Macaca fascicularis: one gene and its partners. The protein of the gene in region 1 interacts with the protein of each later gene in a biochemical or structural test. Links are inferred from orthologs where the notes say so. Each region holds a gene or a part of one and is shown in the gene's direction. Other genes may lie near its edges.

Region 1 (2,607 bases):
ACAGTGGACATAACAGGAGTATGCTTGTAAGGAACTGTGTCATTGACCCTTCTCTCACTCAGAGTTGTAGTGAGCAGAATATTCAGTCATTGTTTCTGTCCAGGTGGCTGCCTTACTGTCGGGGAAGTTCCAGGGTCTGATTGAGAAGTTTTATGTCATTGATTGTCGCTATCCATATGAGTACCTGGGAGGACACATCCAGGTGAGATGACATGGTGGCCATTAGTAGGGGAGTACTGGAGATAGCTCTTTATTGAGAAGAGTCTGTGGACAAAGGGGCCTAGAATTAGGACAAAGATTACATATTTGAAGCACATCAAGGCTGAGGTCCTCATTGTTTTAATTCTGTATACCTTAAGCAGCTTACTTTCCCTTTCCTTCCTAGATCTATCTCCCTCTTTTCTGTAGGAGCCAAGGGGTCCTACCTAGAAATAAAAACATGAATCCAAGGACTAAAGCACTTTGCAAACACTTAATATTCATGAACATTCCTCGCAGTGATCCCTATACTTCCAGTAGTTCAGTTCTATGAATATTTATTGACCATCTACTACATACCAAGCTCTATGCCAGGCGTTCAGGGTATATACAGAGATATATTTAGACCCCTGCCCTAAAGGTGCTGATAGTCCAGCTTTTCTGGTCCAAATTATCCCAGGTTGGTGTCTCAGTCATTTCTAAGTATTGGCACTGTCTATAAGCCCCTGAGGAAATACTAAAATTCTTTTTCTACAGGGAGCCTTAAACTTGTATAGTCAGGAAGAACTGTTTAGCTTCTTTCTAAAGAAGCCCATTGTCCCTTTGGACACCCAGAAGAGAATAATCATCGTGTTCCACTGTGAATTCTCCTCAGAGAGGGGCCCCCGAATGTGAGTGTCTAAATGGGGTCTGGCGGGTGATGGAAATGGATTTTGAGTTGGACTTCCCACACCAGTTCAGACAGAGACTGACTGGATTCTACAGTTTGAAGAATGTTAGGGAGGTTGAAGGAAGACGTTTCTAAAATTGAAAAGTATGAAACAATAAAGGAAAAGGGACTTGAGAATGAGACCGCAGTGGAGGAAAGGAGGAAGGGTGGTGCTACTTGGACCTTTTTTTTGCAAACACAGTGAGATTGGAAGGTCCTTGTTGAGGTTGGCAATAGTCTATTCCTCTCCTCCCTGCCCAGTGAATAGCCCCTGGGATCCTGACCTTGTTTCTTTCCACCCCACCCATCTCTGGGTTCTCTCTAAAGGTGCCGCTCTCTGCGTGAAGAGGACAGGTCTCTGAACCAGTATCCTGCATTGTACTACCCAGAGCTATATATCCTTAAAGGCGGCTACAGAGACTTCTTTCCAGAATATTTGGTAAAGGGTGGGGCATGCGGGGAGCCAATTTTAGCATGCAACTCCCAGGGCCTGCAAAGCCCTCAGAGAAGAAACTGCTGCTCCTCCGTGGCCACTGCCAGCAGCAGCACCTCTATTATCCTTCGTAGGTAGAGTTCAGGAGTCTAGAGAATCCCTTACTCTGTTCCTTACCTTTCAGGAGCTGTGTGAACCACAGAGCTACTGCCCTATGCATCATCAGGACCACAAGGCTGAGTTGCTGAGGTGTCGAAGCCAGAGCAAAGTGCAGGAAGGGGAGCGGCAGCTGCGGGAGCAGATTGCCCTTCTGGTGAAGGATGTGAGCCCGTGACAACATTCCAACCACTGGCTGCTAACGAGTCACCAAAAGACACTGCAGAAACCCTGAGCAGAAAGAGGCCTTCTGGATGGCCAAACCCAAGATTATCAAAAGATGTCTCTGCAAACCACCAGGCTGCCAACTTGTGTACAGGCCTGGGAATGGCTTCGGTTTCAGCAGAGCTGAAAGCTGGTGGCAGAGTCCTGGAGTGGCTCTATAAGAGCTCTATAAGAGTGGCAGACTTGAGTTGCAGAGAGATTTTTGTTGGTTCAGGGAACTCTGGCATTCCTCTTCCCAACTCCTCGTGTCTTCTCACAGGCCAGCCAACTCTTTCTCTCTGGGCTTCTGGCTGTGCAAGAGAGTTGTCTACCCTCTTTCTTTGTATTTTCCTTCTTTGTTTCCCCCTCTATTTTAAAAATGGAAAAATAAACACTACAGAATGAGACGTGTGATTGTGAGCCTAGCCTGCTCCTAGAAGATCTGTCTACAGAGGAGATCACCAAGTTAGACTACTTCAGACATATTATCTTTATTCTCAGCTGAGGCCAACATGCTTTTCTCTAAACCAGCAATTCTTAGGCCGTGGCTTACATCTGTAATCCTGGCACTTTGGGAGACCGTAGTGGGTGGATCACTTGAGGTCAGGAGTTCGAGGCCAACCTTGCCAACATGGTGAGACCCCCATCTCTACTAAAAATACAAAAATTAGCCAGCATGGTGGCATGCTCCTGTAGTCCCAGCTACTCAGGAAACTGACACAGGAGAATCGCTTGAACTCAGGAGGTGAAGGTTGCAATGAGATCGTGCCACTGCACTCCAACCTGGGCAACAGAGAGAGACTCTGTCTCAGAAAACAAAAACAAAACAAAAAACCAGTAATTCTCAAAGTTTGGACCCTAGATCATCAACATGATCTGAACTTGTTTGAAATACAGATGTTCGGCC
Region 2 (3,984 bases), on another chromosome or scaffold:
TGCTCTCAATAAATCTTTTGAGGAATGGCATGGTAATTGATTGGCTGGTGCAGAGGGTGGGCAGAGAGGTGAGAGACAAGGCTAGGAGACCTGTGGTCTTGGGCCTCTGTCTCGGGCATTGCGCAGGGGTCTAGGGGTCCACATGGTCCAGAGACTAGCTGCCCAATTGCCCGTGTCTAGCATTTGAGAAAATCCAATTCCCGGCCAGGCGCGGTGGCTCACGCCTGTAATCCCAACACTTTGGGAGGCTGAAGTGGGCAGATCACCTGAGGCTGGGAGTTCCAGATCAGTCTGACCAACGTGGAGAAACCCTATCTCTACTTAAAAAAAAAAAAAATACAAAATTAGCCGGGTGTGATGGCGCACGCCTGTAATCCCAGCTGCTTGGGAGGCTGAGGCAGGAGAATCGCTTGAACTTGGAAGGCAGAGTTTGGGGTGAGTCAAGATCGCGCCATTGCACTCCAGCCTGGGCAACAAGAGCGAAACTCTGTCTCAAAAAAAAAAAAAAAAAAAAAAAAAAAAGGGCCGGGCGCGGTGGCTCACGCCTGTAATCCCAGCACTTTGGGAGGCCGAGGCGGGCGGATCACGAGGTCAGGAGATCGAGATCATCCTGGCAAACACGATGAAACCCCATCTCTACTATACTAAAAATACAAAAAAAATTAGCCGGGCGTGGTGGCGGGCACCCTGTAGTCCCAGCTTCTAGGGTGGCTGAGCCAGGAGAATGGCGTGAACCTGGGAGGCGGCAGAGCTTGCAGTGAGCGGAGATTGCGCCACTGCACTCCAACCTGGGCGACACAGTGAGACTCCGTCTCAAAAAAAAAAAAAAAAGAAAAAAGAAAATCCAATTCCCATTCACTTTCTGGCCTTCTGGCTGCTGACCCAGGCCCGCGGGTATTTTCAGAGGAAGGGAATTGGGGACCCCGCAGGAACCCGAAATCTGCCCCTCAAGAGTGTAGAAGTGGGTAGCGGAAGATGTGGCCTGGAGCATGGTAAAAGGGTCCAGTCTCTGCTTGACTGGACTCCTAAACCTGGCAAGGCAGCCCTCAGGCCAGGCAAGCCAGGCGCGAGACTGTGCCTTCCTTCCAGGCCCTAAAGAGGGCAGCACTGGGCCGGGCCCCGGGCGAGGGGGAGGGACACACGCGGTCCGGCACACTGAAAGGGGAGTGTCGGGTGACACGCCTGGGGAAAAGCGAGCGCCGCCCCTGCCTCTCAGCTGCTGGCTGGAACGCTGATCTATCTAGTTGCTGGGGGACGCCCCCAGATGCCCGGGCCCCACTCGGACTTCAGCACACGCCCCGAAGGATGGGGAAAGAAAGAGGCCCCCATGAGCGGGACTCGCAGTGGCCAAGGAGGGGTGAGAAGCGGACAGGGATCAGCTGGCCCCGGCGGCCTGGTAGCACCTGCATGGTGACTAGCTGCCGGGCTGCGCCCCGGGGCGCAGCCAGGAGGCGGGGCCTGGCAGTGCGTTGCGGGGGGGAGGAGCTTCTGGGTGATGTAAGGCCGGGCATGGGAGGGGCCTCTCCTCGACTCGCTGCCAGGAAGGGGGCGGGACTCTTGGTGACGAGACGCCGGGGAGGGGGCAGGCGTTCATTGATAAAAACGCTGGGCTCCCCCGGGCGCGAGCGCAGCGTAGCAAATACAGGCAGCGCCACGCGCGGCCGGGGCCGGGCGGAACCGAGAAGAAGCCGGGCCCGCGCTGCGACGCGCCGCCCGCATGGAGCCCGCCACTGGTTTCCTGTCCCCGCGCCCCTTCCAGCGTGCGGCCGCCGAGCCCGCTCCCCCGGCCGGGCCCGGGCCGCCTCCGAGTGCCTTGCCCGGACCTGAGCTGGAGATGCTGGCCGGGCTACCGACGTCAGACCCCGGGCGCCTCATCACGGACCCGCGCAGTGGCCGCACCTACTTCAAAGGCCGCTTGTTGGGCAAGGTGGGCCGGGGGACGTCCGCGGGGTGGTGATGGTGGAGGTGGGGGTCTCGGCCGGCCTCATTTCTGGCACCAAGCCGGGCGTGGCCACTTGACCCCCAACGCGGGGACGCCCGCGGGCCAGAGTCGGCCCCCCTGGAACACCCAGCCTGACGCCCCCTCTTCACAGGGGGGCTTCGCCCGCTGCTACGAGGCCACTGACACAGAGACTGGCAGCGCCTACGCTGTCAAAGTCATCCCGCAGAGCCGCGTCGCCAAGCCGCATCAGCGCGAGAAGGTAGGTCCAGGCTCAGCGGGCGAGGGGTGGGGTGGGGACGGTGGCATGGGAACCATGGAAGGATGACGACCCTGCGCCCTCATCGCAGATCCTAAATGAGATTGAGCTGCACCGAGACCTGCAGCACCGCCACATCGTGCGTTTTTCGCACCACTTTGAGGACGCTGACAACATCTACATTTTCCTGGAGCTCTGCAGTCGAAAGGTGAAAGATGGTGATACCCGCAGGGATGAGGGTGAAGGAGAGAAGAGAGTCTTAAGACCCAAAGCTCGGGCCTTGTTTCTTCCTCTGGGAGCACAGATGGAGGGGAAGGGGGAGGGAGGGCTCACCAGGGGCTGAGGCAGTGGCTCTTTGCAGTCCCTGGCCCACATCTGGAAGGCCCGGCACACCCTGTTGGAGCCAGAAGTGCGCTACTACCTGCGGCAGATTCTTTCCGGCCTCAAGTACTTGCACCAGCGCGGCATCTTGCACCGGGACCTCAAGTTGGGTGAGACTCCTGAGCCTGGAGGATGGGAGGTTGGGGAGGGAGGGAGGAAGGAAGGAAAGAATCTGACACACCTCTCTTTCCCCATCTAGGAAATTTTTTCATCACTGAGAACATGGAACTGAAGGTGGGGGATTTTGGGCTGGCAGCCCGGTTGGAGCCTCCGGAGCAGAGGAAGAAGTGAGTTTTGAAGAAAGGAGCCTGTGTGTGATACAGATGACATGCGTGACAGACAGTGCATATGTATGTGGGAGGCAAGGTGACTGCTTGATGTGTGCATGAGATAAATGGGAAGGGATGAGGGGCTGTTTATGCATGTGTGAAGGTGGAGGTGGCAGCCTGTGTTACCGGGACCAGTGGAGAGGGGTAGAATCCTATAGGTGTGTGACACAGATAGGGTAGGTGACCCTGAGTCCCTGAGACAGATAGGGGTGTACAGATTCTTGGAGGCATATGACTTACCCTTCGTGTGGATAGGGGAAGGTTACAGGCAGCGTGTGTGTGTGTTTGTGTGTGAGAGACAGACTGAGAGTGTGGGAATGGTAGGATATGACACTGGGTGTAAGAAGACCCTGCTGTGGCCATCGTACTTTGTGTGTGTGACACAGACAGCATATGTGGCAGATAAGTGTTTATGGGGGTTGTGACAGCTGGTGTTGGTGTGTGTGTGGCACAAACCATGGGAGGTGACAGCCTGATGACTGTCTGAGAGACAGGAGTGAGGAAGGGGGAAGGGATCAGCTGTGGACTCTCTGTGTTGACCCTGGAGGAGGGGACTGGGCTGGGGGTCAGGCCCTCCCCCTGTCATGAAGAGCAGCTGAGCAGCTGGGCCAGGCGGGTGGGCGGGGACTCAGCTGCCATCCCTGGCATCCATTGTCCCAGGACAAGCAGGAGTTCTCTGGCCTTTGGTGACAGGCAGCTGCTTTGTCTGGACTCACAGTGGGGGAAGGGGTGGGGGGGCTGCTGGGCTGGGTCTCAGCCTTTTCTCCTCCTCCCCACCCTCTTTCAGGACCATCTGTGGCACCCCCAACTATGTGGCTCCAGAAGTGCTACTGAGACAGGGCCATGGGCCCGAGGCGGATGTGTGGTCACTGGGCTGTGTCATGTGAGTCGCAGGGTCCAGGTTCGGCAGCAGACAGGTGGTGGGTGTGTGGGTGGGGTATCCCCTCCACTTTACTCCTGACCCCTTGGCCCTGCCCTATAGGTACACGCTGCTCTGCGGGAGCCCTCCCTTTGAGACAGCTGACCTGAAGGAGACGTACCGCTGCATCAAGCAGGTTCACTACACGCTGCCTGCC
Region 3 (3,482 bases), on another chromosome or scaffold:
TTATCCCTGAAATGACATAAAGCATTTCTGCAGCCATTTTAGCTGAGTCTGCATATATTTGGGAGAATGATTCCATTTAGTGCCTCTTTTATTTCAGGCCTTCATTTCAAGGCTTGTAGACCTTATTGTGTGGTGCCAGCAATGTAGTAAAGACAATTGTGGTCACTTTATCCACACCCTTCATTTAAATTGCAGATTTAGGCAGAGTGCAGTGGCTCACACCTATAGTCCCAGCACTGTGGGAAGCTGAGGTATAGGTGGATCACCTGAGGTCAGGAGTTCGAGACCAGCCTGGCCAAAATGGTGAAACCCCATCTGTACTAAAAAAACAAAAATTAGCCAGGTGTGGTGGCACACACCTGTAATCCCAGCTACTTGGGAGGCCAAGGCAGGAGAATCGCTTGAACCCAGGAGATGGAGGTTGCAGTGAGCCAAGATCGCACCACTGCACTCCAGCCTGGGCGACAGAACGAGATTCCATCTCAAAAAAAAAAAAAAAGAAGATTTAGATCATGTCCCCCTTCAACCTCTGGCTTTTCAGATTGAAGGATCCTTGAGGCCTGGCTTTATGTAGAAGCTCCTATCTCCTTTAATACAACAGTGCAGTGCAGTAGGCTGAGGCTTCAAATCAGCAATATGTTTTATTGTCTTTTATCTGGGTTGTAACCAACAGCTTAAAGACCATTAGCCTGTACATATGTAATGTGCATTTATCCCCCAGTGCATTACCTTACAATTGTCCATATTCCTCTCTCAATTCATCCAAAAATATTTGTTAAGCACCTAGTGGGTAGCCAGCACCATGCTAGGTACTGTGGGGAACACAGAAGAAATGGAAGACAGAGCCTCTGCCCGCTGTGCTCCTATCTAGAAGTGGCTGCATCACAAGGTTGGGGGATGACTGCAGTGTCTACCCCATACCCCGTGAGTGGCTTGGGATCCCTTTGCTACATGTCAGTGGCATCGCAGACATTCAGCCCCTCCCAGACCCACCCAGCCTTGGGGATCTGCAAAGCCATGGTTGGGGGAAGGAAGGAGGGGGCGAGGAGACAGATGAAGGGACTTCATTGTCTCAGGTTCTGTGTGACTGACCCCATGAAAGGCCCTGGGGAGGGAGTCATGGGGCCCTGCTGACCTTCTACTGTCTGTGGGAACTCCTTTGTATAGAGGAGAGTTTTGACTGACTTCAACATAGGTCTTGGTATTTTCTCTTTCCCCATTTTCAGGTGACTCGCCGGGCCCTATTCCCTGGAGATTCTGAGATTGACCAGCTCTTCCGGATCTTTCGGACTCTGGGGACCCCAGATGAGGTGGTGTGGCCAGGAGTTACTTCTATGCCTGATTACAAGCCAAGTTTCCCCAAGTGGGCCCGGCAAGATTTTAGTAAAGTTGTACCTCCCCTGGATGAAGATGGACGGAGCTTGTTATCGGTGAGAGTGGGCACCTGTTTTCCCTCATTCATTTCTCCCAGGGAAGGGCTTTTCCAGGATGAAGGAAGGATGAGACCCTGAAATCTGGGCCTCAGTATTTTGTTTCCCTGGTTCCTGCTCTCCCTGTTGGCACACTGATTCAGCTATGGGAGGATGGAAGTAAGAATTCCGCCTTGGGTAGAAGGAGTTCTGGTTTCCTGATTTCTGGGAACATCTGCTGCCCATTTAGTCCACTATCACATGATTGAAGTCAACATACATCTCTCCCTCTAGCAAATGCTGCACTACGATCCTAACAAGCGGATTTCGGCCAAGGCAGCCCTGGCTCACCCTTTCTTCCAGGATGTGACCAAGCCAGTACCCCATCTTCGACTCTGATAGCCTTCTCGAAGCCTCCAGCCCTAATCTCACCCTCTGCTCCAGTGTGGGCTTGACCTGGCTTGGCCTTGGGCTATTTGGACTCAGGTGGGCCCTCTGATCTTGCCTTAAACACTCACCTTCTAGTCTTGGCCAGCCAACTCTGGGAATACAGGGGTGAAAGGGAGGAACCAGTGAAAATGAAAGGAAGTTTCAGTATTAGATGCACTTAAGTTAGCCTCCACCACCCTTTCCCCCTTCTCTTAGTTACTGCTGAAGAGGGTTGCTATTAAAAAAAAAAAAAAAGAAAAAAAAAAAAAGCCTTCCTACATGTTAGATTTGCCGTACCAATCTCTGAATGCCCCGTAATTATTATTTCCAGTGTTTGAGATGACCAGGATCCCAAGCCTCCTGCTGCCGCAATGTTTGTAAAGGCCAAATGATAGCAGGGGGCTAAGTTGGAACTTTTGAGAACCAAGTCAAACAAAACCACTGGGAGGAGTCTATTTTAAAGAATTCGGTTGAAAAAATAGATCCAATCAGTTTATACCCTAGTTAGTGTTCTGCCTCACCTAATAGGCTGGGAGACTCAAGACTCAGCCTGGGTGGGGCTGCAGAAAAATGATTGGCCCCAGTCCCCTTGTTTGTCCCTTCTACAGGCATGAGGAATTTGGGAGGCCCTGGGACAGGGATTGTGCTTCATTCCAATCTATTGCTTCACCATGGCCTTATGAGGCAGGTGAGAGATGTTTGAATTTTTCTCTTCCTTTTAGTATTCTTAGTTCTTCAGTTGCCAGGGATCCCTGATCCCGTTTTCCTCTGAAGTCCACCTCCTACCCCATAGGAGTTGGAAATTAGGGTTTAGGCATCATTTTGAGAGTACTGACACTTTTTCAGGGCTGTGATTGAGTGAGGGCATGGGCAAAAATATTTCTTTAAAAGAAGGATGAACAATTATATTTATATTTCAGGTTATATCCCATAGGAAGGTTGGCTTTTTTTTTTTTTTTTTTGGTTAGAGTGGGTGGATTTGTTGCCATGTGCACCTTCGGGTTTTGTAATGACAGTGCTTAAAAAAAAAAAAGCATTTTTTTTTGTTTATGATTTGTTTCTGTCACCCTTGTCCTTGAGTGCTCTTGCTATTAACGTTATTTGTAATTTAGTTTGTAGTTCATTAAAAAAATGTGCCTAGTTTTATAGTTCATCTCTTTCCTATTTACTGAAAGAATGGTGAGAAACAGAATATGAATATGTATATGTGATCATTGATTTCGGACCCCTTTTCCTAATCTCTCTGTGCATGGCCACCCACCCCACCCCATTTTGGCTAGTGCTGACAGTGAACAAAGTGGTTATTATCGTTCCTATTTATGGCTGGGGAAACTGAAGTCTATATACTTCCTACTTTCTCCACACACCAGCAAACTTCCTTTCCCCCAGCCAACATACCACACACACACAACACACCACATACACACCATATATGCACACACACACACCCCCATGCACATACATAGCGGCAGGAAAAGGGCTCCCGGGGAATTTGCCTCTCGACACTGCATTTCCCAGTAAGCCCGCCCTTTTTCCTTTCTGTTTCATATCACAAACAGCAAAGTTTTCCAAAGATTATTTTATTTACATTTACATACGATTCTGAAAAAGCGTCTCCAAGCTACCACTTCTTGTAGTTGCCAT
Region 4 (3,500 bases), on another chromosome or scaffold:
ATTAAAAAAAACTGGGACTTGCTTTGTTTTTAGAATTGCCATGGGACCAACCCAGTGACAGCTGTCAGGAATATTCTGACTGGAAAGAAAAAAAAACATACCTCAACCCTTGGAAAAAAATCGATTCTGCTCCTCTAGGTAACGGATTATCTTGAGTGAAAGAGTACTGATTTCTTGAAGTCTTGTGCTATTTGAATTTTTTCTTATTTTTTTGTTTTAAACTTAGAAATAATTCATGAATCTTGTAGATAAATTGGTAACTATAAGTAAAAATTAAGGAAAAAATAACTCTTTCATCCCAGAACTCTGCCATAGATTTTTAAAAATATTTTGGGGAGTGTATATTCAGAGCAAGTTGAATCTGTGCTCTTAGGTGGCTTTTTACTTAAAAAAAAAAAAAGTTTTCACATGTGCTATACTTTGTTACAAATAAACTCATTTGTTGCTTAATTATAGGGATGCACTCTAACAGTTGTTTCCTTAGGTGAGTTCATCATTGTGTGAACATCATAGAGTATACTTACATAAATCTAGATAGTACAGCTTACTATAAATCTAGCTATATGGTATAGCCTATTGGTCCCAGGCTGCAAACCTCTATAGCATGTTACTCTATTGAGTACTGTAAGGAATTGTAACATAATGGTATTTGTGTATCTAAATATAGGAAAAGTATAGTAAAAATACAGTGTTATAATCTAATGGGACTGTCTGTTATACATGTGGTCCATTCTTGACTGAAACATCATTCATGTGGCCCATGAGTATGTAAAATGAATATATGTATATTATTTATATGTGTTTTTATACAAAATGAGATAACACTAATATTTTGTAACTGCTTTTGGTTTTCATGTGCAGTGAACATTCTTCCATGACTATAATTGTAGGTCTACGTCGTTGTTTTAAAGGCTGTGATGATATTCTGCCATGTGGATATGCCTTATGATACTCTTTTAATCACTTTGTTGGAGATTTTTCTAAATTTTCACAGATACGAAAGAGATATAAGTATCTGTGTAACTTAATCATGACGCATACCCTTAAATTGTTCATTGAAATCCCCAGAAGCAAAATTGCAGCATCAAAGATGTAGTTTTTATTATTATGGCTTATTTTGTCAAATTGCTTCCTGAAAGTTCAAACCATTTCATCACAGTCTCATCAATTTACATTAAAAAAAAAAAACAAAAAACTAACAGGCCTTTAAATGATAGTCTTTTATTTTTATTTTAAATTTAATACTAATGAAGTTGTATACACTTTATTTATATGTTAGTTTTTTGTCTATTTTGCTCATTTTTGTCAAGCATATTTTTCTTACCAGTTTGAAGTTTTGTTTTTTTTTTTGTAACATATTGACCTTTGCACTTGTTACAAATACTTTTCACAGTTTATCATTTATTTTCATTTTGTTTTGCTATATTGACATTCAAATCTATTATCTTGTCCTTTGTGGTCCCTGACTATAATGTCTTTGGAAAGGTCTTCTACCTCTACTATTTAAAAGTTCCCTATTTTTTCATTTAATGGTTTTATGGCTTCATTTTTACATTTAAATCTTTGGTCCATTAGGAAATAATTTTGATGTAGGGAGATATATGAATTTTTTCTCAAGAAAATCAAGATACCTTAGGATGGTTAGATTACTGTCTCTTTAAAAGTTATTGGTAAGTAAATGTTCATTATAAAACTGAATAAGGGGGTCACGTGAGAACATGACATTGAAGTAATGAAATTCAGTATTGAAAACGGATATAAGGGGGTTTCTGTATCTTTTTGTTAATCTTGTCACATGAGGAGAAACATTTCCACCTGGCTCTTGTTCTCAGTTGCAAACATTTGAGAATCAGATCAAGGGAAGACTATTCCAAGATATAGACAGCAGCAGAGAAAAACCGCATGAAATTAAAGCAATAATTTAGTAGCTTTAATTCTTTCTCTTCCCCAGAAATAATATTTAGACATGAGTAGGCCAACAGAAAATGTGTTTCTTACCGCAAGCCATAGGCTTCTCGAATCTCCGTGACGCTTTCATGAATGTTGTCTTAATGTTTGTTTTTAGCTCTGCTGCATAAAATCCTAGTTGAGAATCCATCAGCAAGAATTACCATTCCAGACATCAAAAAAGATAGATGGTACAACAAACCCCTCAAGAAAGGTAATATCCTTAAACTACATGTTTGTTTTTCTGTGGAAGAAAAGGTAATTGCAAAGTCATTATCACAAATCAACAACACATGATGGCTATGATCTCTGTCCTCATGGAGATTATAATGTCTACTAGGAAAAAAATATAAAAATAATTTTATTAATAATTATAAAAGGGAAAGTCAGGGAACTATAGCTAAGTGTTTGACCAAGTCTAAGGGACAGGGAAGACTTCTTCCTGAAGAAATTACATTAAATCTAAGATTTGAAGATTAAAGGGAAGCTAGCCAGGCAAAGTAAGTGGCAGATTTGATTCTGAACAGGGGAAGCAGTATTTGAAAACTCTTAGGTTTTTGAAAGTCTGATGCATTTGAGAAACTTGAAAGATCAGTATGGCACGAGCCATGTCTGCTGTGTTCATCATTGCATCGTCAGTGCTTAGCACAGTATATGGTGCACCATAGGCACTCATTAAATATTTGTTGAGTGAATGAGTGAACAGGGAAGTGGGAGAGGAAGAGAGGTGTGAGATGAGGACAGAGAGGTCACTAGTGGCCCGTTTGTGGAAGAAGACCTTGTAAGCCATGTTAAGGATTTGGGGCTTTAACTTAAGACCACTGGGGAGACCTTTGGGAGATTTTAAGCAAGAATATGACATAGTCATATCTTTGGTTTAAAAATATCTCTCTGATGACCTTCCCCCCCACCTCCATTGTTTTTTATGAATAGGGAAAGATTCAGGGTACCGTAGTTTTTCTGCTAGTTGTCTAGTTGTGGTAAGATGGTGGCTTGGAGTAGGTTAGGGCAGTGGTATTGGAGAGATGAGATGATCCCAAAGAAATTTAAGAACTAGTATTGATAGGACTGTTAGGCTGTGAATGGGAGGAGAGAGGACAATGACTAGAGATTATGAATGAGAAACATTCAGAGAGTTATTAAAGAAGAATTAATATTTAACTCTGTCCTCATGGAAAGAAAAGAGTTAATGTTTAAAAATTCATTCTTCTTTAATACCTCTCTGCCTGTTTCTTTCTCGTTGTTCTAACTTAAAGTCCAATTCTCCCCTGAGGACACTGCTTCCTCTGAAGTGGTAGGTATTTTCTTTCCCATACCCTCATGTCCTTTGATCTGGATATGGCACAAGTGTCCTCCTTATTTTTCATTGTTACTTTCTCCCATCTTCCTGTATGTCTCTCCCCTCTAACTTTTGAACCCCCAATTAAAATTTCTGCCATACTATCATAGTCTCCATAATGACCCTTGATGTAATTTTCGTCATGATTCTTGGTGATTTAAATATTTATTTGGATGATCCTCCTAATATCCTGACTTCACTGTTACTTGACCTT
Region 5 (4,251 bases), on another chromosome or scaffold:
AATTAGCCAGGCGTGGTGGTGGGCGCCTGTAGTCTCAGCTACTCGGGAGGCTGAGGCAGGAGAATGGCGTGAGCCTGGGAGGTGGAGCTTGCAGTGAGCCGAGATCGCGCCACTGCACTCCAGCCTGGGCAACAGAGCGAGACTCCGTCTCAAAAAAAAAAAAAAAAGATACATATATTTCCTGGAGCAAGAAAGGTCTCAAACATCGCAAGACAGTTGGGATGCCAACGGATCAAAGGGGAAGCAAGCATGACATAGCCACCCACTACAAGGGCTTACCTATTATCCAAGCTTTGGGAACTAGGTTAGAATCCCAGCTCTGTCGCTAACCAACCTGTGTACTTTAGCCAAGTCACTGTACCTGTCTAGACTTCGGATCGCATGTGTGTCTGTCCATCTCACAGGGTTACCCTGAGGCTAAATGAGGTAACAAATGTCATGAACCTACAAGGTAGACTCGACTCTCGGTAACAGTTAGTGTCACCCCCATCCCACACTACTCTCCCTCTTTGGACCCTGCACCCATGGATTCCATCCACCGCTGGCCAGGAGCTGAGTAGAGGCACCGAACACGTGAAGAGGTGAATGGGCAAGGAAGGTTTCTAGGTCAGGTAGCATTTCCAGGGTTCCCGCCTGCAGGCGTCTACCGAGTCTGGCCCGAGGCTGGCACCCAAAGATGCTTCCAGTCTTCCAGCAGCGACGCACTGACTGTAAGAAAAGTCTGCTTATAAATTCCGCACAGGCATTTAGGAACTGGTCCCTGGGGGCCTCTACAGATTCATTTCGCCCCCGACTCCATCCCCTTTGTGCCACCCTCGTTATTGCACTCTTCCATCCGGATGGCATTTAGCTGGGTCCAGGTCTGTCACCCGCCTGACCACCAGCTCCTTGAGGGCAAGAGGCTCCTGCTGCCCTCGGAGTCCGGCCCAGCCCGCAGCTGCTCAGATCCGGAGACGGGAAGGTTTGTGGGCGAGAGCCTGACGCCAGGGTCACAGTTAAGGATGCAAGAGCCCGGCTCCTTCCCGTAGCCCCGGCCCTGTCATTAAAGCTGGGGCTCCAGTCGGTGCAGCGCAGTCCGAAGGATGCAACCGCAACTTTTGTGCACAGTAGGCTCTCGATCTGTAATCCAGCCAACCCAGGCCTGTAGTCTGTAAATGCCAACTCAGCGGGAGGGCTCTGGCTGTCGCCCAGGGCCGTTTCTCGGCTCTTTCGGGGTTGCCGGAGCGCTCCGTACAGGAGGAACCCGCCGCCCGCGGTAGTCAGTGGAGACCCGGCCAGCGCTTCCCCGCCCTCTTCACCGCCCCCGCGGCGGGGTCTGGGCCAAGTCGCCCCTAGCAACAACAGCCGGGCCGGCTTTCTCAGGCCACGCTGATTGGCGGGACTCCGGGAGGCGGCCTGTCGTCACTTCCGGCAGCCGGAGGCAGCAGAGGAAGCCGAGGAGCGGCCATCTTGGGTCCGTGAGGCTCCGAGGTGCCGGGGTGCGGCGGCAGCAGCGGCGGCCAGCAGGGCGGAGGCTGAGGCAGCAAGCTCGCTAGAGAGGGAGAAGCAGCCGGGCGCAGGCGCCTCCTCCGCAGCCCGTTCCATGGTCAGCGCCCACAGCCCGCGGCGGCCTGTCTTGCGCTCCACTTCCTTCACATCCTCCTCCGCCTCCTCTTTTTCAGACGCCGCCGGCGGCGCTGTGTGGAGGCCCGGGAGCTGAAATTCGCGGCGCGACGGGCGGGAGTGGAGAAGGAGGCGAGGGGGCCCGGGATCGCGGGGCGCCCTGAGGCGAGGGGACGCCGGCGGGCCGAAGCCGGCAGCTCGCCGCAGGCTCGGCTCCGCCACTGCCGCCCTCCCGGGCTCCTCGCCTCGGCCGCCGGGGCAGGGAGAGAATGAGCCCCGGGACCCGCCGGGGGACGGCCCGGGCCAGGCCCGGGATCTAGACGGCCGTAGAGGGAAGGGAGCCGCCTTCCCCACGGCGCCGCTTCGAAACTGCCGTGGACTCGAGGACGCTGGTCGCCGGCCTCCTAAGGCTGTGCTGTTTTGTTTTCGCCCTCGCATTGTGCAGAATTAAAGTGCAGTAAAATGTCCACTAGGACCCCATTGCCAACGGTGAATGAACGAGACACTGAAAACGTAAGTAACCTGGGCGTTGTAGTTGGCGGACCTTCGGGGTGGCCTTCGTGCTCCTCGGGCAGTGCCTTGCAGTCGGGTGTTCCCCCCCAGCCCGAACGCTCTGGAAATAGAGGGCAGGCCGTAGTCACCCAAGAGGCAGCCAGGTCGGACCGTTTCCTCCAGAAGTCCGCCCTGTCCCGCTGTTCGCGGGCGGGTCTACGAAGTATATCGATTATGCCTGCAGTCTAGTCGATTAGTAAAGCCCGTAAGTTGCATCGTTACGAATCGGTGCTTTGAGAGGCCGGGTTGCCGCTCAATGGATTGTGCAAGTGTGCGTGTCAGATCACTGCAGTGGTCAGTGCTTATTTTAACCGAACTCTGCTTTTAACTTGGTCAGGCATTTCTTGAGAGACTATCATATTAATACCATATGTACTGGTGCTGATTAAGAGTAATCGATTGAGTCAAGTGGGCTGTCTCGTTCTTTTAAGATGGAACTAAATTTAATCACAGTCACTAAGTGTCTACTGAGGGATCTTTGCGGTCCCCTTAGGAATTCCAAAACACTAGCGGGCAGCCTTTATTAAGGCATAGGTTCCTTTACATACAAATCTTTTTTGAAGGAGTTAAACATTTTAAAAAGCAGAAAAGCAGATGTATAGTGAAGCTGTGCTCTGCCACTCACTGCCTAGCTGAGGGACACCCGCTGGGGCTTCGCTGTCCTCCTTCCTAAAAAGAGGTTGACTTAGATGAGCTCTTAGGTCCGTTTCAGCGCTCACAGGCTATGATTTTATAAAAGGAACCTTTGATTTTGTGCATGTGAAACTACAAAATGCCAGGAACAGCATTGCTAGAGAATGAGAACTTGTAGTAGAAATGCCATTGAAGAAACGTTTGACAAACTCTGTTCGTTTTCTGAACTCTCCTCTAACACTGGCTTCAAAAGTGTTTCAATCTAGTTGTTGCCTATATTCTGTAAAACGTCTAGTAAATAACTTGTAAAGAAACTTCACTGGCCTTTCATTAAAAGTGTTATGAGGTAATTGCTGGCACGAAATGTCTTCTCTTAGGGAATGCTTCCTTGCTTTGAGTGTTTTCATGCTTTCAGTAATGTCCTGAGATGTTATGGCAATGTTTTAATTTTGATCTTCAAAAATGCCACTTGTTTGCTGGATAGCTATTTGATAATTTAATCTGTAAACGTAAAACCATAGCCTAAAACATCCCTGTAGCATATTAGTGTATAATATTTAATGCTCTTTAGCCCTTAGTGAGTAGAACAGTGGTGTACCTTTCTCCACCTGAGAGAGATTAGAAAATTATATAAAGAGCGAGTAATAGAAACTCTTAGACTAGGTGAGTCAGGGAACTATTTTCTTATGGTCCTTTTAAAGAAACCTTTTTTTGTTTTTTTTTTTTTGAGACAGACCGAGACTGTCTCCCAGGCTGACTGTCTCCCAGGCTGGAGTGTGGTGGTGCGATCTTGGCTCACTGCAGCCTTCGCCTCCCAGGCTGAAGTGATTATCATGCCTCAGCCTCCCGAGTAGCTGAGATTACAGGCATGCACCACCACGCCTGGCTTGCATTTTTGTATTTTTAGTAGACAGGGTTTCACCATGTTGGCCAGGCTGGTCTAGAACTCCTGGCCTCATGTGATCCACCCGCCTCGGCCCCTCAAAGTGCTGATATTACAGGCGTGAGCCAGTGTGCCCAACTGATTAGTTTTGATCATTGATATTCACTCAGAGAAGCAAAACTTTACGTTGAACCAGAGTAGGAGCTCCATGCTTTCTAAACTGAAGCCAAAAACAGTCATAGCAGATTTGTGATAATGAAGGATTTCAAATGGGTCTTCTTTCTCTCTTTCTTTTTTGAGATGGAGTCTGGCTCTGTCTCTCAGACTGGAGTGCTGTGGCACGATCTCGGCTCACTGCAACTTCCACCTCCCAGGTTCAAGTGATTCTCCTGCCTCAGCCTCCTGAGTAGCTAGGATTACAGGCATGCGCCACCACTCCGGGCTAATTTTGTATTTTTAGTAGAGAAGAGGTTTCTCCATGTTTGTCATGCTGGTCTCGATCTCCTGACCTCAGGTGATCCGCCTGCTTCGGCCTCCCAAAGTGCTGGTATCACAGGCGTGAGCCACCACGCCCGGCCATG
Region 6 (3,500 bases), on another chromosome or scaffold:
TTCTCCTGGCTCAGCCTCCCGAGTAGCTGGGACTACAGGCGCTCGCCACCTCGCCTGGCTAGTTTTTTTTTTTTTGTACTTTTTAGTAGAGACGGGGTTTCACTGTGTTAGCCAGGATGGTCTCGATCTCCTGACCTCGTGATCCGCCCGTCTCGGCCTCCCAAAGTGCTGGGATTACAGGCTTGAGCCACCACGCCCGGCCTACAAATATATATTTGTATAGATTCCCTTTAAAAATATTCCCAGGACTGCAATAACCAAATATATCATTTTGGTTGAATTTTTGTGTTTATTTGGTATGTTCGCAAAACATTTTCTATTACCCATTTGTATTTGTATTGAAATTGACACCTTACATTTCTGCCACGTGAAGGGTTGTTTATTATCTTAAAGTGAAATGAAAGGTTGATTGTTCTAAGTTGCTTTTTTCATTTCCCTGCTTTTTAAAGATCTTCTCAAACAAATTTGTAAACTTTACCCCAACAGTTTTCTATGATTTTGGACAATATGATTGTGTGTATCACGGCTTACGGTTTCACCCAGCTGTGAGATGTGTGTGTTGGTAACTTTGATTCTACTTATCTACTGCATGAATCTGAGGGTCATGCCTGCCTTTCTGTGTAGTACCTTCATGAAAACGGTATTATACACCGTGACTTAAAGCCAGAGAATGTTTTACTGTCATCTCAAGAAGAGGACTGTCTTATAAAGGTAAGAAATTGGCATTCTGTATGTGGCTATTCCTGTAGATTCTTGTTCAGAAACTTTTAATTCCTCAAATAAAAAGTGGGAGTGTTAAAAGGTTGAGAATCTGACCTCTTACCAATTATTTTAGAGATCAGGTGACATTGCTCTTATCCAGATTTGAATGAGCATTTATTGAGCTCTGTTGTGTGCAAGTGACCTTTGTGCTGAGAGAGAGAGAGGAGGGGTCTAAATGGACTAGTGGCCTGGGCACGGTGGCTCACACCTGTAATCCCAGCACTTTGGGAGGCCGAGGCAGGCAGATCACCTGAGGTCAGGGGTTTGAGACCAGCCTGGCCAACATGGCAAAACCCCATCTCTACTAAAAATACAAAAATTTAGCTGGGCATGGTGGTGGGTGCCTGTAATCCCAGCTACTTGGGAGGCTGAGGCACGAGAATCACTTGAACCTGGGAGGCAGAGGTTGCAGTGAGCTAAGATCGCACCACTGTCCTCCAGCCTGTGCAAAAGGTCGAGACATCATCTCAGAATAGGTGAATGAATGAATGAATGAATGAATGAGTAATCACGTGCCCTGCCTTTCCGTGTTTCTCAAGCCTGGCATCACTTTAGAATCTCTTGTTAGGATTTATGACATCCAGGCTTTACCTCAGAAGCTGAGAGTGGCACTCAGTTATAAGCATGTGTTTCCAAGCTCCCCAGGTATTCCATAGTGCAGCCAAGTTTGAGACACTGGGGCCTAAGAACCACATAGAACTAATTAGAATCCTGAAGTGTCTGTGATAATGGCAATAAGCTTTTTGTAAGATTACAGGGGACATAGGTTAAGTTGGAAAGCCTGAGTGTTGATATTCCTAGGCTCAGGAATTTTAATTTAAGCAAAATTAAATGTCTTAACTTGCAAAGACATGAATCTGTAGATTCCAGATTAATGGCAGGTGTGAATTGTACAATAGAAACTGATCTAGCCTACATGTCTTCTTGGACTGGCAGACTATGTTAATCTTTTTATTTATGACATAGTTCAACATTATCCCCTTTTGTACTGAATTTTAGATTACTGATTTTGGGCACTCCAAAATTTTGGGGGAGACCTCTCTCATGAGAACCTTATGTGGAACCCCCACCTACTTGGCTCCTGAAGTTCTTGTTTCTGTTGGGACTGCTGGATATAACCGTGCTGTGGACTGCTGGAGTTTAGGAGTTATTCTTTTTATCTGGTAAGAAACATTTTCATTGCTTCACAGACTGGTAGGAGGTGATTAAATGAAGTCACAAATGTGTCTTGCTGTGTTGTCCAGGCTGGCATGCAGTGGCTTGATTTTGGCTAACTGTAGCCTCTGCGTCCAGGGTCAAGTGATCCTCCCACCTCAGCCTCCTGACTAGCTGGGACTACAGGCGCACACCACCATGCCCAGCTAATTTTTCTATTTTTTGTAGTGATGGAATTTTGCCATGTTGCCCAGGCTGGTCTCGAACTCCTGGGCTCAAGTGATCCTCCTGCCTCAGCCTCCCAGAGTGCTGGGATTACAAGCATGAGCCATTGTGCCCAGCCTAGCTCACTTTTTGACCATTGATATAAAGAAAAATCTTGACTTTTCATTATGCTGAGAAAGAAATCTTCATATCTGAATGCCACTGAGAATGCCACTTGATTTCTTTTCCTTTCTCTCTCTACCAATATTAAGCCTTAGTGGGTATCCACCTTTCTCTGAGCATAGGACTCAAGTGTCACTGAAGGATCAGATCACCAGTGGAAAATACAACTTCATTCCTGAAGTCTGGGCAGAGGTCTCAGAGAAGGGTATGAATACGAAAGGGTTAAGAATTTGTGGTATGCTAAAATGTGTATTTGCTGTGGTGGGAGTTTCTTTCCAAATTCCATGGTGTTTTCTCCTGTCAATTCTGTTCTTATTTTCTGTTGTTAGTTTCACACCATTTGAGAGGCACTGGAAATTATTAAGAGTGTGCACTCAGGTCCTGGGTCTGCTACTACTTAGCTGTGTGGCCTTAGGCAAGTTATTTAACCTCTGTCTCCAATTTCTTTCTGTGTAAAGGGACCCTCAATAATCCCTACCTTAAAAGGTTTTTGTAAGGGTTAAGTATAATGTACACAAGTGCCTGGTACCTATTTTAGTGCCCAAAAAAGTGCACTTGTAACTTTTTAGTTACAGGGTTTCCTTTGAGTAAGCAAGCATGTAAAAACTAGATGTCATTAGTTACCTTGTATTTTATAATTTATCCTGGCAACTTTAGTTCCCCAAAGAGAAAGTAGAAAATTAAATGTCAAATAATATAACATAGGTGATTGTGTTAAATGTCAGAATATTTAAGGAATAATAGTGTTGTAATATACAAGCCAGCGTGCATTTGTTGCTTGCTGGAGTAGTCAAGTTTTATTTCTGACAAGTCTGCAGTTCCAGGAATCCTCTCCCTGGCTGAGTAACTCTCACCCATCCATCTGTAGATGTCAGGGAGAGTTTGCTACGTATCCCAAGTATCTTAGAATTGGGTGGAAGTTTAGCTTTAATTAGTTTGACCTTGAGTCAACAGGCAACAAGAGAGGGAACAGGCAGCGAAGAGGTCGTGACTGACATCCCAGCAGCAGGAGACAGGGAGTGTCATTATCATTCCTGGTCTTCTCATAGTACTCTGAATACAGAGAGTGAGGAAGATTAGGGGGCCCTGTCTGCTGACTCTGTGATGATCTCAGACCCTCTCTGCTCTTTCTGGATGGTGGCCTGTTAATTCTGGCATACTATTACGATTTAATATATTTATCCTTTTCACTGTGA

What was found.
Region 2: of the proteins of CDC25C (region 1) and PLK3, one has a biochemical effect on the other in vitro, tested with the Homo sapiens proteins (2 studies listed by BioGRID, with this or other methods). The link is inferred for Macaca fascicularis from reciprocal best matches to the Homo sapiens genes CDC25C and PLK3.
Region 3: of the proteins of CDC25C (region 1) and CDK2, one has a biochemical effect on the other in vitro, tested with the Homo sapiens proteins (3 studies listed by BioGRID). The link is inferred for Macaca fascicularis from reciprocal best matches to the Homo sapiens genes CDC25C and CDK2.
Region 4: of the proteins of CDC25C (region 1) and CHEK1, one has a biochemical effect on the other in vitro, tested with the Homo sapiens proteins (16 studies listed by BioGRID and IntAct, with this or other methods). The link is inferred for Macaca fascicularis from reciprocal best matches to the Homo sapiens genes CDC25C and CHEK1.
Region 5: of the proteins of CDC25C (region 1) and MARK3, one has a biochemical effect on the other in vitro, tested with the Homo sapiens proteins (3 studies listed by BioGRID, with this or other methods). The link is inferred for Macaca fascicularis from reciprocal best matches to the Homo sapiens genes CDC25C and MARK3.
Region 6: of the proteins of CDC25C (region 1) and CHEK2, one has a biochemical effect on the other in vitro, tested with the Homo sapiens proteins (14 studies listed by BioGRID). The link is inferred for Macaca fascicularis from reciprocal best matches to the Homo sapiens genes CDC25C and CHEK2.

The regions. Positions count from the first base shown.
Region 1 is NC_088380.1:144,781,430-144,784,036, reverse strand, and holds the end of CDC25C (M-phase inducer phosphatase 3), read left to right. Parts: intron 1-103; coding exon 104-202; intron 203-735; coding exon 736-869; intron 870-1,234; coding exon 1,235-1,346; intron 1,347-1,524; coding exon 1,525-1,674; 3' UTR 1,675-2,107; downstream 2,108-2,607. UniProt on the Homo sapiens protein: Functions as a dosage-dependent inducer in mitotic control. Tyrosine protein phosphatase required for progression of the cell cycle. When phosphorylated, highly effective in activating G2 cells into prophase.
Region 2 is NC_088375.1:189,941,727-189,945,710, reverse strand, and holds the start of PLK3 (serine/threonine-protein kinase PLK3), read left to right. Parts: upstream 1-1,184; 5' UTR 1,185-1,264; coding exon 1,265-1,357; intron 1,358-1,623; exon of another isoform or gene 1,624-1,717; coding exon of another isoform or gene 1,718-1,759; coding exon 1,760-1,927; intron 1,928-2,093; coding exon 2,094-2,201; intron 2,202-2,289; coding exon 2,290-2,406; intron 2,407-2,559; coding exon 2,560-2,689; intron 2,690-2,778; coding exon 2,779-2,866; intron 2,867-3,695; coding exon 3,696-3,791; intron 3,792-3,890; coding exon 3,891-3,984. UniProt on the Homo sapiens protein: Serine/threonine-protein kinase involved in cell cycle regulation, response to stress and Golgi disassembly. Polo-like kinases act by binding and phosphorylating proteins that are already phosphorylated on a specific motif recognized by the POLO box domains.
Region 3 is NC_088385.1:62,750,864-62,754,345, forward strand, and holds the end of CDK2 (cyclin-dependent kinase 2), read left to right. Parts: intron 1-780; coding exon 781-924; intron 925-1,226; coding exon 1,227-1,430; intron 1,431-1,703; coding exon 1,704-1,808; 3' UTR 1,809-2,982; downstream 2,983-3,482. UniProt on the Homo sapiens protein: Serine/threonine-protein kinase involved in the control of the cell cycle; essential for meiosis, but dispensable for mitosis. Phosphorylates CABLES1, CTNNB1, CDK2AP2, ERCC6, NBN, USP37, p53/TP53, NPM1, CDK7, RB1, BRCA2, MYC, NPAT, EZH2.
Region 4 is NC_088388.1:124,191,544-124,195,043, forward strand, and holds part of CHEK1 (serine/threonine-protein kinase Chk1), read left to right. Parts: intron 1-33; coding exon 34-138; intron 139-2,065; coding exon 2,066-2,161; intron 2,162-3,500. UniProt on the Homo sapiens protein: Serine/threonine-protein kinase which is required for checkpoint-mediated cell cycle arrest and activation of DNA repair in response to the presence of DNA damage or unreplicated DNA.
Region 5 is NC_088381.1:171,557,504-171,561,754, forward strand, and holds the start of MARK3 (MAP/microtubule affinity-regulating kinase 3), read left to right. Parts: upstream 1-1,451; 5' UTR 1,452-1,585; exon of another isoform or gene 1,586-1,661; 5' UTR 1,662-2,064; coding exon 2,065-2,115; intron 2,116-4,251. UniProt on the Homo sapiens protein: Serine/threonine-protein kinase. Involved in the specific phosphorylation of microtubule-associated proteins for MAP2 and MAP4. Phosphorylates the microtubule-associated protein MAPT/TAU. Phosphorylates CDC25C on 'Ser-216'.
Region 6 is NC_088384.1:22,972,205-22,975,704, forward strand, and holds part of CHEK2 (serine/threonine-protein kinase Chk2), read left to right. Parts: intron 1-486; exon of another isoform or gene 487-624; coding exon 625-711; intron 712-1,761; coding exon 1,762-1,925; intron 1,926-2,393; coding exon 2,394-2,509; intron 2,510-3,500. UniProt on the Homo sapiens protein: Serine/threonine-protein kinase which is required for checkpoint-mediated cell cycle arrest, activation of DNA repair and apoptosis in response to the presence of DNA double-strand breaks.